3 linked regions of the Ovis aries genome follow. The protein of the gene in region 1 purifies or fractionates together with the protein of each later gene. This does not show direct contact. Links are inferred from orthologs where the notes say so. Each region holds a gene or a part of one and is shown on either strand. Other genes may lie near its edges. The genes, in order: CORO1A, IFT57 and POC1A.

Region 1 (4,186 bases):
CACCAAATTATATCATTTGCCCCTGGGAGACAGGCAGGGCGGGGGTGCTCCTAGGTGAAGACACACCGAGAGGTTAAGTGACCCTCCCAAGGCCACCCATTTGTGCCTGTAGGGGCCTGAGTAGACCCCAGGTCTTCTGGGTGCAGGTGGACACAAGGTTCCCCCTCCTCTTTGCCGCTCGGCCTCCACTTGTTTCCTGACTGGAGGTGGGGCAGAAGGATGGTAACACAGCCTTTGCTTGGGATGAGGGCTATACTAAGGCCCGCTTTGAAGGGACTGATGGGCCATTTTATGGATGCCAGGGAAAGGATGGCGAGTAGGCTGGGGGTGGGCTGGAGAAGGGAAGAAGGAACAGGTTATTTTTGCATTTTTGACATTAAAAAAGTGCAGATTAGATTCTCAGCCACTGGCCAGCAGCATCTGTTTTGGTTTGGAATTGGCAGCTGAGGCGCTGAGCGCCGCGGCGGGAAGGGAGGGGAGGCTGCGGGCTGGTGGGCGAGGCGGCGCCTTGGCGGAGGGAAGGGCTCTCCCCTTTAAGAGCTCCGCCCAAAGGGGCGCTGCCACCCCTGAGGAGGCGGGCGCCGCCGCTTCTCATTCATTGTCTTGACAAGAGCATCCTCCGCGGACGTTCTCAGGCTCCGCCGGCTCCTTCCTCCTCCTCCTCCTCCTCGCCCTCCTCCGTCTGGGGGGTCGCTCATCTCTCAGCCGCAGGTAAGGCTGGAGCCCGGCCACCCGGGCTCGGCATCGCTGCCCTGGGCCACCTGTGGGGCAGGCGAGAGCTTGGCAGAAGCCGGCCGTGGGGGTGGACAGACTGTCAGAGCCGCTGGCTCCGAGGTGGAGACGGGGCCCGTCCACGCCCCGCGTGGAGGGACTCGCCTGAGCGTGTGGGTGCGCGTGGGAGGGTCCACCCGTGTGTCCCAGAGCTCCGTGAGGGGGCGAGGGTGAGGGGCCACGCAGCCAAGATGGAGGTGGGGGAGCCCGGGGGTCAGGACACCCGCCGGCCTCTCCCCAGAACGGGAGTCTTTGGGGTGGCGGTGGGGGGCAGGGTGGGGTGAACCCAGTAGCTGCCCTGAGCTTGGAGACAGGAAGGGGTTGAGAGCAAAACAAGAAAAGGCCAAGTTCCCCTTTCCGTGGTTTCCGGGGCCTGGTACCTGCGGTGGGGGAGGAGGCAGGGTGGGGCGATGGCTTCCTGTCTCCCAGCCTCCAGTTTGGGGCTCCCCTGTTCCCAGACCTAAGCTTCCCTCCCGGAAGGGTCCCCTGCCCCCAGCCAGCTCCTCCTCTCACAGGCGCCTCATCCGCTTTCTGGACAGGTGGACCCACAAGCCTCCTCCAGAGTCCCAGGGTAGGTGAGGGTGGCAGGAGCTCCAAGGGAGAAGGGCTAGGCACGAGGGAGGTGGTGGAGGAGAGGCCGTGGGGCCCCCACACCAAGCTGGCAGGAGATGCTCTGGGGCCCCAGCATGAGGCCTGGAGCCTGGGGAGCCAGAGGCAGGTCCCTTGGCTCTGCTCGCTGTCCACCCAGCCATGGAGGAAAACCGTTCTTGCTGCTCCTCCGAGAAGTGAGCACCAGCCGCTTCCTTCCTGTGGATGGCTTCAGTGGGGTGGAGAAGGCCCTTAAGCGCACCTGCTTAAGTGGGGGCGAGAAGCTGAGGTGTGAGGAGGAGATGCTGGGACCCGAGCCATCTGCCTGCTTCTGGTGCCCAGAGACCCGCTGGGGAAGCCCTCCGGCCATGGGGGACATGCCGCCCAGGCAAACCCACATGCCATTTCCTTCCGTGTGTCCAGCCTGGACCTGGAGGTGGGGAGGGCCCCTGCCTTTTAGATGGCTCCTCATGTGGGTGTGAGGGTGTGAGGTCTGGACGCTGAGGCTGAGTGCACCCTCCACACTGTTGCCCTGAGGCCCTGGAAGGTGGCCCGTCAGAGAGGATGGGCCCTGGGACTGTCAGCCAGTCCGCGGTCAAGTTGGCACTAGGTGCTACCCCTCACCCCAGGCTCTGCTGTGGAGGCTGAGGGTACAGAAGCCAGGCTTGGGACGGGTTGAGACGGTGGGCCTTGCAGGTCAGCCAGGGATGAGGAGGGGTGGGCAAGGCGTGTATAAGGGTAGCTGGATGTCAGTGACAGAGGAGAGCGACAGGGAAGTTAGCTGAGACCATGGCTGCCAGACTGAGGGGTGGGTGTCCTGGGAGAGATGGGGGCCACTGGAAGGTCAGGGTTGACCTGAGGGGAGCAAAGCCTTTCACCCCTGTCTCACCAGGATGAGCCGGCAGGTGGTCCGTTCCAGCAAGTTCCGCCATGTGTTTGGACAGCCGGCCAAGGCTGACCAGTGCTATGAGGATGTGCGCGTCTCACAGAACACCTGGGATAGTGGCTTCTGTGCTGTCAACCCCAAATTCGTGGCCCTGATCTGTGAGGCCAGCGGGGGAGGGGCCTTCCTGGTGCTGCCCCTGGGCAAGGTGAGCCCCTGGAGCCCTGGGGACAGGCCCTCCTCCTAAGGGGGCCTCAGGTGATCTAGTTGGCCCCCTGGGGGTCCCGATGAGGTCTGCGGCTCAGGACAGTGGGCCGCAGTGTTGCCCTCTGCAAAACTGGGTTGAGCCGCATGAACCTTACACTTCCTCCAGCGCCTCCATGCAGTGCTTGGATGGAGCTGAAGCTCAGGGTTGGGAGTGACACGGGAAGTGTCAAATAGCAAGTCCTGCAGACCCAGGGTTAGCCCTCCCAAGTCTCAACCTGGAGCTTTCTCCTGCACAGAGAGGCCTGGGATGGGGTCTGAGTGGGCCCAGCAGTGCTCTTAGGGTTTGGAGGGACCTCTCTGAGGCCCTGGGAAGCCAGTGAGCTCAGTGGCTCCCAGCTCACAGGCAGGGATGAGGTAAGAGACCCTCTCCCCTCGCCAACCCTGGCCTCCCTCAAATCCTGCCCTCCCTGCTGTCTGCGGACCCCCCCGCCCCAGCACACTCCCGTGCTCTTGGGGGGTGAGACAGGAAGGGGAGATGGGCCCTCGGTTGTTACCTTAAAAGGGCTGATGGAAACATAGAGAAGAGGAAGTGGTTGTCAGAGTAAGAGCTGGGCCCGCACTTCACACAGGAAACCGTGCTGTAGCAGCCGTCCCCGGAAGCAGCCATTTCAAACCCGTTATAACAGACTTCCCCATCCTTGTCCTTTCGGGGGGACCTGTCCCCACAGCCCCATCATTCACACACACTTCCCTGGGGAACCCCAGCCCTGATACAACCACACCCTCAGCCTGAATCACGCCGGGGGCCTTGGCCTGTTGTGCCATGGAAGAATCTGGGGTGGGGGTGAGGGCGGGGGTACCAGGCCCCGGCTGAGATGGAGCTGGCAGGAACTTGGCCAGGGTCTGAGAGAGGGGCAGGACCAAGCCCGCATGTCCATCCTGCGCTACCTGTGGCCAGCCTTCTGAGTTGCCCAGACAGCTCTGAGATGGGCAGAGCCCCAAACCCTCCCACCCTAGGTCCCTCTCTGCCTTCCAGGGACCCCACACCTTTCCCCTCTGTGCCTCTCTGAAGGGGTGTGGGGAGGTGGGATTGGGTTTGGCGGGCCAGAGCACCTCCCTCAGAGGCCCCGCTGTGTCCTCCAGACCGGCCGTGTAGACAAGAATGTGCCTATGGTCTGTGGCCACACGGCCCCGGTGCTGGACATCGCCTGGTGCCCGCACAATGATAACGTCATTGCCAGTGGCTCCGAGGACTGCTCCGTCATGGTGAGTATGGGGGGCACCCAGGGGCCAGGAGGGGGCTCAGGCACTGGAGCTGATGTTGGGCACCGCCAAGACTCACTTGCTCGCCCCTTCTCTGCAGGTGTGGGAGATCCCCGATGGGGGCCTGACACTGCCCCTGCGGGAGCCTGTCGTCACCCTGGAGGGCCACACCAAGCGCGTGGGCATTGTGGCCTGGCACCCCACCGCCCAGAACGTGCTGCTCAGTGCAGGTGCCAAGGGCGGGACGCAGGGAGGGCTGGTTGCCTGACAGTCAGGGGGGAGGCTCCTGGCTTCTGACACTGGGGACATCGCCCAGGTTGCGACAATGTGATCCTGGTGTGGGACGTGGGCACGGGGGCGGCCGTGCTGACGCTGGGCTCCGACGTGCACCCGGACACCATCTACAGTGTGGACTGGAGCCGAGATGGTGCCCTCATCTGTACCTCCTGCCGAGACAAACGAGTCCGCATCATT
Region 2 (4,108 bases), on another chromosome or scaffold:
GATCCTTTATAAATCTCAGAAACAAGTTAGGTCTAGACTGATATAAAAATGAGAAGTGCTCTTCTGCCCATTTTTCTAACAAAAAGATACAACAAATAAATTTCAGACTTCAGCTCTGTCAAAAAATGGGCCTCTGTATTTTCTAGTAACAGATAAAAGTAGAGATCAAAAATCACATAAACACAAACATAGTTTCAACCTCTTGCCAAAAGTTTTCATCTCCCAGGAAACCCCCAGCATCTACCACTTACCTGATTTTTTATATAGCTGGTAGGAAAACTGCTTAATACACAAAAGTTTCTTTTTGAGACCTGTAAAGCAGTCAGTTATGCCCCCTTCCTTGTATTGGTATTTTCCAGGTCAACAGCTGCACAGTACAGTAGTAACATTCTGTCATTAGCCACACTTAGAGCTACAGGGCAGGGAATTCCTCTCAAGATTATCTCCTTTGCTATTTTAACAAGCCACCCCAAAACTTGACACAACATGTAATGGCCTTGATTAAACAGCAGGATGTGAGTTTAGAATTTTTGTTTCTGAGGTACAACAAACACTTTCTTATGCCTCCTTTCTGCTTATCCTCTGCCTTTTTTCTTCCCCTCCCAACCAACAACTTTTCTCATCCCTGGAGTAACAGCAGAGAATTATAATACTTCAAATCTTGCAATATACTGTTAAATCAAATACTGCATTCCCGAATGAGAGAAAGATTAAGAAAAATAAGGAAAATTCTCTTTGGAAAACTCCTGAAGTAAAGGGAAACCGATGATATCGAATATCTTTACAACTGTGAAAACTTTCAATTTGAAAACGAAAAATTAAAAAGATACCAGTGGGCTATGGTAGCCTTCAATACTGCACGCCTTCCTCTCTCTTTAATCTTTTTATCTGCTACCAGCTGACTCAGACGCCGACTCAGGGGCTCTTGAGGACCGTTCCAAGTCTCCTAGAGCCTCCTAAGGACCATCAAGAAAGCACAACAGAAACGCCCGCAGACCCTCCCTCTTTAAAATGAAGCGGTAGGAGGCGTGGCCCAACGTGACTAGGAGAATGCCACGCCTATGGGGCGGGGCTGCTTCAGCCTCCGCCTCTCCAGAGGCGGGGGAAGGGGCGGGGGAAGGGGGCAGGAGCCAGACGTGACGCCCGCAAGGAAGCCCTCCCTGGTTGGAGGGAATTTAGAACGTTGGAGCGGGGGAAGGGGGCGGAGTCTAATTTTCCTGTTGGTGTGCCCGGGTCGCCTGGGTAACCGGCCTCGCTGGTCCTGGCTGCGCCAGCGCAGGCCGCGGAGGTCTGTGGGTCAGACCTCGCGCTGGGCTCTTTCGGTCTGTTCCGTGATGGCAGCCGCCGCCGCAGTGGTCACCCCGTCGGGTTTGGAGGATGAGGTGTCTCGGTCCCGCGGCGAAGGAGCGGGGGAGGTGGTCGTGGAGAGGGGCCCCGGCGCGGCCTACCACATGTTTGTGGTGATGGAGGACCTGGTGGAGAAGCTGAAGTTGCTCCGCTATGAGGAGGATCTCCTCCGGAAGAACAACCTGAAGCCCCCGTCCAGGTGGGTGCCCTCGTCCCCCGAGCGCCTGGAAGCCGGCTGGGCCCTGGGGAGAAGCCTTCCTCTGGCCTTTGGGGGAACTCCGAGCGCGGGTTACCAAGCACTTGCCTCTGTCTTCCTACGCAGGAAAGAGCACTTCACCCCAAACTTGGCGACGTAGGGCCGGACTGCTCACGGAGTTTAGACTTGGTATTTTTGTAGCGAGAGTAAAGTTTTGGAACTTCAAATAGGACTGGAAGGCAGCTTGCCTAGAGCACTCACGCAGCTCCATAAAACGCAAACTTTTTTTTTTTTTTCCTGATTGTAAACATAATAAAACAACCTCTTAGAAAACTCAGAAAACTTACAATGTGTAAAGTACTGCAGTCACTCATGATCTCATCCTCAAAGATGAATGCCATAATCAGTTTAGCTGTTTCTAGTTTTTGTTTTCCTTTTCGAGAATTTGTCCCTACAACTTGTAACTTTTGTATCGGACACCTACTTGTGCATTTTATAAGTGGTTAGTAAACTTGTTCACTAATTGCTATCTTTTAAAAGATTTCTGTCTTTGCAGTAACAGTACTTTTGGAAACTGAGAAGTGAACAAGACAAATGAAGTGACAATGGAATTGTCTCTTTTCATAGAACCTGAAGTTCTGCTCTATTCTGTTGGGGGGAAAGTCCATCATATTCTGAAGCCGCGGCTGGTATTACTTGCTGAGGATGATGGACAGCCAGAACTTTCTCTTTAAATTAGTGTAGCCTAGTGATAGGCCTCATAAACTTTGTAGATTTCCTTCACATTAATACTTTTTTTTTTGTATTAAATTTTTGTTTTTGTTTAATTGTGTAAGAGGCAATTTAGTTTAAGAATCTGTAGTACTTTCTCTAAATGACTATACCTAGGCTCAAATTATTTTCAAATTATTTACCTTGACAGTTTAAATTTAATTCCTTACTCTCTTCCAGTAACTTCCATTAGAAGATAATGTTGGCTTCATGTAAACTGCCCATATTGCTAAGCCAGTCCATAATAGAAAAGTTAGAGGAAGAAATAATGTTGTTTGATCCATGATATAAATTGTAAGATTGGAAGTTATTACTTAAATGAATAGGGTAATTCATAAACAGTCAACATTTTCTGTTAATAAAAATGTTTTTTTTCTCCAAGTATATTTTTCAAACAAAAATAAATTGGCTTTAAGATTTTGTTGATAACAATCTGTTATTTCCTCAGAAGTTCAGGAGGGTACTTTGAGTCATGGATTTGCATGGAAATATCCTAGTCTAAAGGTTCTCAAAGTATGGTCAACAGATTAGCAACATCAGCATCACCTGGGAACTTATTAGAAGTGTAATCCTACAGGCCCTTTCCTGAGTCCAGTATATCAGAAATCTTAGAGGGTGAGGTGTAGAAGTCTGCTTTTGCAACAAGCCTTCCAGGTGATTCTGATACCCACTTAAGTTTGAGAACCACTAACCTAAACAGCATATTAAAAAGCAGAGACATTACTTTGCCAACAAAGGTCTGTCCAGTCAAGGCTATGGCTTTTCCAGTAGTCATGTATGGATGTGAGAGTTGAACTATAAAGAAAGCTGAGCGCTGAAGAATTGATGCTTTTGAACTGTGGTATTGGAGAAGACTCTTGAGAGTCCCTTGGACTGCAAGGAGACCCATCCAGTACATCCTAAAGGAGATCAGTCCTGGGTGTTCATTGAAAGGACTGATGTTGAAGCTCCAATACTTTGGCTATCTGATGTGAAGAACTGACTCATTTGAAAATACCCTGATGCTGGGAAAAGATTGAAGGTGGGAGGAGAAGGGGATGACAGAGAATGCGCTAGTTAGATGGCATCACCAACTCAATGGACATGAGTTTAAGTGAACTCCGGGAGTTGGTGATGGACCGGGAAGCCTGGTGTGCTGCAGTCCAAGGGGTCACAAAGAGTCAGACACGACTGAGCTATTGAACTGAACTGAACTGTCTTGGGTCTCCAGTATCTATCAGTATCCATTCCTCTGTCCTGGAGTTGTTATCAGCTAATAAGGGAAAAAAAAAATTATTAGTAGTGGGTGAACATATACCTATTTGGAAGGACTTCATAGCCTTTTTTTCCCTCCCAGCTGTTATTTTCCAGAACATTTAAACTATCCTGCAAGAGAAAAATTGGGAAGGAAAAAAAAACTGGAAAAAAATCAGGAAGGAGTAGATTGCTGATTCTTATGAAAAATAGTTATAGTATCTATAAATCTAATTGTAAACAATAGTAATAGCTTCACATAAAAGCAAAATAAGGTCTTTGATCAAAGTAAAAAATGCTGTGGCTTACAGGTTTTATTCCTTAAAAGTTTAGGTGTGAATCATGTTGGTTCTCATAGGGCTATTTTTAAGAGGCTAGGGGCTTTAACCTAAAGTCCACAAATGTTTGTTAGACTGGGATATACACAGGCAGTGGTTCTTAATCCTGGCTGAACCTTAGAACTATCTAGGAAGCTTTTGAAACATATCTACCCCGGACTTCACTCCCCAGAGTTTTGATTTAATTTGTGAGGTAAGAAACAATGTTTAGTCAGGTAGCAGT
Region 3 (3,608 bases), on another chromosome or scaffold:
CACAGGTGACCCCGGTCTTAGCTTTGCGCTTGGCATGTGGCCGTCCTGGTGCTCCTGTGCCTTCAGGAGATGGCAGACTTCTGGCCTCAACCCAAGGCAAGAGAGCTTCTGCCCAACAGCTCTGCCTCCTCGACCCTTCCTTCTCCACTCTGACCCTTTCACGCTCTTCCCCCATTAGAGGTGGTTTAGGCCGGCCCTCTCGCAAGACACAGAGACACTTCCTTGGCACACACAGAGCCCCCTCTCTTGGTCAGGGTCTGGTTCACCCCAGCACCAGCCCCCTGCAGCTGACTCCTCTCAGCTGGCCTCTGACCCCCAGCCTGCACTGTACCTTCTCACAGGTATGGAACTGGAGGCCCAAGGGGGTTGCTGCTCCATGGAGCAGAATAACTCAACAGCCCTCCCTCTAAAGCTCCCTCAGGGCTCTGCCTGAGGGCGATCACAAGGAAGTCCTCAAGTCCAAACCAAAGCTTCAAGGGGATCCCTCTCCCACTGACCAGAATGCTGTCATCCAACAGTGAGGCTGGAACACAAGAAGCCATGAGGCCTGCTGGTTTCCTACACAGACCAGTGATCTATTACTAAGAACAAGAGTGAGATTACAACTCAGCTTCTAACAGTCATACATATGGGGTCAGCGGGTGTGCTGGAAACTGTAGATATGGTTAACTGACCCCGTTCAACAACCGTAAGCTGCCTACCCCATTCTCTGGGCCTCGGTTCCCCCACCAGGACTCAAAGGTGCTTTCAAATCTGCCAACTACTCTGTGGGACAGAATCCCTGGGCATCCGGGGCCACTAGGGAGCCACGGGGCTGCTCAGCCACAGGCTTTAGGAAGTGGCCAGTGACAGCTGTGCTGGGTGAGGCCCTCAGTCACCTCCCAGAACAGAATGTGGATGCTCAAGTCGCCAAGGAGCTCAGCTGCACGTCTTACTGGAAGGACAGGGCCGGGGGCACTTCATGAGGGGGGAGCCTAAGACCAGACGCTGCACAGAGCACGCGGGCAGAGCTGCACTCCTCAGCCATGGTACAGGCCCTCTCCCTGGGGCTTGGCCAGGGCAATACATTCTCCAACAGGGCAACACAGGTGTCCAAGAACTGTTCCAGGGTGGAACCACTCTGGCCTGATAGCACGCACAGACCCTCACAGGTCAGGGACGTTTACGGAGCACACTGGCTCCCAGTGACAGCACAGGTCAAACCTCCACAGGTCTGTCCCCTCAGGGAGAGAAAAGGCACTCTTGCTCCCAGCCCAGACATCCACCTGCTCTAGGTATTCAGGTTGGCTGGTGGGCTGTTTTTAATAACTGCCCCAATCAAGGCTGCTCAACCGCACTATCCTTTCTAAGGAAGGCACACTTAGCTGACTGTGAATCACCCCAAACCCAGGCCCCTAAAGCCCACAGCACACCAGTGCTAAGTGTCTGTATTTGGTGGGAATTTTCAAGGGTCAGAACAGAAACAAATGTGAGCCTCTCACTCCAAGTCCCACTTTGATCTGAGCAGCACTCTGGGGAAGAAGCCCACGCTGCTTCACCTAACCCTCCAAGTATCACCCAAGACCCAACCTGCCTCTCGTTTCGTAACGCATCTCATGCCACCTCAGCTCTGCTGATGGCCCCAGGGAGTCCCCTGCTTGCCAGGCATGAGCCCCAGGGGGTGGGGCCACTGCATCCATTTCAAACCCATGACGCCCAGCCCAGCAAGCTGGGGAGCGGATGACATAATGGACAGGCAGACAGCAAGATGAATAGGGGTGAGCTTGCTTCTCTTTCTTCCCCCTTCCTCTGGGCACTGCAAGCTTGGTGATTCCTGGAGCCATTTCCCATTCTCCACACCCCAAAACTACCAGTTGTCCTCAGCCTAGCTCCCACATTCCAGGTTCAACAGCAGACAGGCAACCACGTGATTTATCGTGGCCCCGTCTTGCTTCTCTGGGAAAACAACATCCACAGGCTTCCATGCTCTGACGCTGGGCCTGAGCTCAGGAATGCCCCTGTAGATGCTGCATTCGAGGCTTCTCAGGCTCAGAGCTGAGTCAGCAGTCTGAAGAGTGCTCACAAGAAAAAGGAAAGAATGGGGTGGTCACCTGGTGTGCACCTGTCTGCACGGTATTTCCGTGCATGGCTTCTCCTTTATCATCGGAACACAAGAGGCAGCAGCCTTCACGTGGTTTCCAAATGCCCTCCTGGTTATAAAACTCCAGCCAAAACTGGTTACACATGAATCTAAGTAATCAAATCGCCAAAGGGATAACCAAAGTGATTCCCCCACAGGCTGACAAGAGCAGCAGTCACCTCAGCCCAGTGGCCGCACATGACGCCCAGATGTGTCAACATCAGAGGAACAGGTCAGAGCTCCTGCACACGAGGCATGTCTCTGACAGACAAGGGATCACCACAGCTGATAGCAAGTGGCCTCCACGTCCCAAGAAAGCAAAAGAAAAGGCCTTGCCCCCACAAGACCCAGCCAAGGCCCTATACACAACTCAGGTGGCAGTGGGATCCAGAGGGCCCTGGGGTAGGCACCTCAACACAGCTGCTGGCCCAAGAGGCACGAGCACCCCAGAGCCTCCCTCAGCCCTCGAGAGTGCCCCCACTCTCCATCCTACCTGCGCCTGCTCACAAATAGAGAAGTGGACAGATGGAAATGCTCTGGTCTCTGCCCCGACAGAAAACACTCTGCTGACCACTCTGCTCAGCAGAAGACACTCAGCCACACCCAGCCCGCCTCCCACAGCCCACCCGCTGAGGCCGGTGCCCAGTCACTGCCCCACAGGGAGCCGAGGCACGGGTGCGTTGCTAAAAGGGGCTCGGAGAGAAAGCCCCTCTCCTCGAGTCAGCTCCGGGAACTCCTCAGCAAACATGTGGGGAGACTTCCCTCCTTCATGCCCACCTCCACGAGGCACCTGCTGTTTCTGCCTCCACAGGGCTCCAGGAGGCTTCATGGCTGTTCACGGAATGGGTCCCAGGGCTCTCCTCAACCGTACCACCAAGGGAGGCTGGAGGTCACTTGGGACAGACTCCATTCAGCCTAGAGAAACCCTGCCAGCCACGTCCAGACGCGTCCCTCCCCACCCTCATCTGACTGAAGCCCTGTGCTCCCTCCTCAGCTGCTGCCCCAGGCCCAGCGCTTCTGCAGAGGTCACAGCTCTCATGGGTAGGACACCTGTTTCTGCACCTCACCCCACTGCCCAGGCTGTGGGGGGATGCAAAACGCTCCAACGGCCCATCAGGCGCCAAGGGAAGGGCCACCTTGAGGCGGCCCCTTCAGCCCACGCCACGCCACCCCGCCCAGGCTGATGCCCTCACCTGATGGCCGTGGAGTGTGTAGAGCAGCCGGCCCTCCATGAGGTCCAGGATCTTCAGGGTTGAGTCGCTGGAGGCCGTGACCAGGTAGTTCCCCGACGGGTGGAAGGAGAGGGCATTCACCGCCGCACTGTGCACTGGGGGAAGGACGGCAGTCAGGCGCAGGCTGGGAGGCCCGTGAAGCCAGAAGACAGCACGCGGGGCCAGCCAGGGCAGCCAGCATCCCGAGCTGCCGTGAGGAGTCTCCCAAGGACTTTCCAGGAGGGCAGCACAAGCAAAGGACAGGAGGCGGCCCACCC

What was found.
Region 2: the proteins of CORO1A (region 1) and IFT57 purify together in Homo sapiens (affinity purification with mass spectrometry; 3 studies listed by BioGRID and IntAct, counting the BioPlex papers as one, with this or other methods). This does not show direct contact. The link is inferred for Ovis aries from reciprocal best matches to the Homo sapiens genes CORO1A and IFT57.
Region 3: the proteins of CORO1A (region 1) and POC1A purify together in Homo sapiens (affinity purification with mass spectrometry; 3 studies listed by BioGRID and IntAct, counting the BioPlex papers as one, with this or other methods). This does not show direct contact. The link is inferred for Ovis aries from reciprocal best matches to the Homo sapiens genes CORO1A and POC1A.

What each region holds. Positions count from the first base shown.
Region 1 is NC_056077.1:26,650,378-26,654,563, reverse strand, and holds the start of CORO1A (coronin-1A), read left to right. Parts: upstream 1-1,282; 5' UTR 1,283-1,439; coding exon 1,440-1,795; intron 1,796-2,251; coding exon 2,252-2,450; intron 2,451-3,592; coding exon 3,593-3,715; intron 3,716-3,812; coding exon 3,813-3,942; intron 3,943-4,028; coding exon 4,029-4,186. UniProt on the Homo sapiens protein: May be a crucial component of the cytoskeleton of highly motile cells, functioning both in the invagination of large pieces of plasma membrane, as well as in forming protrusions of the plasma membrane involved in cell locomotion.
Region 2 is NC_056054.1:173,993,050-173,997,157, reverse strand, and holds the start of IFT57 (intraflagellar transport protein 57 homolog), read left to right. Parts: upstream 1-1,244; 5' UTR 1,245-1,334; coding exon 1,335-1,546; intron 1,547-4,108. UniProt on the Homo sapiens protein: Required for the formation of cilia. Plays an indirect role in sonic hedgehog signaling, cilia being required for all activity of the hedgehog pathway.
Region 3 is NC_056072.1:48,823,051-48,826,658, reverse strand, and holds part of POC1A (POC1 centriolar protein homolog A), read right to left. Parts: intron 3,447-3,608; coding exon 3,313-3,446; intron 1-3,312.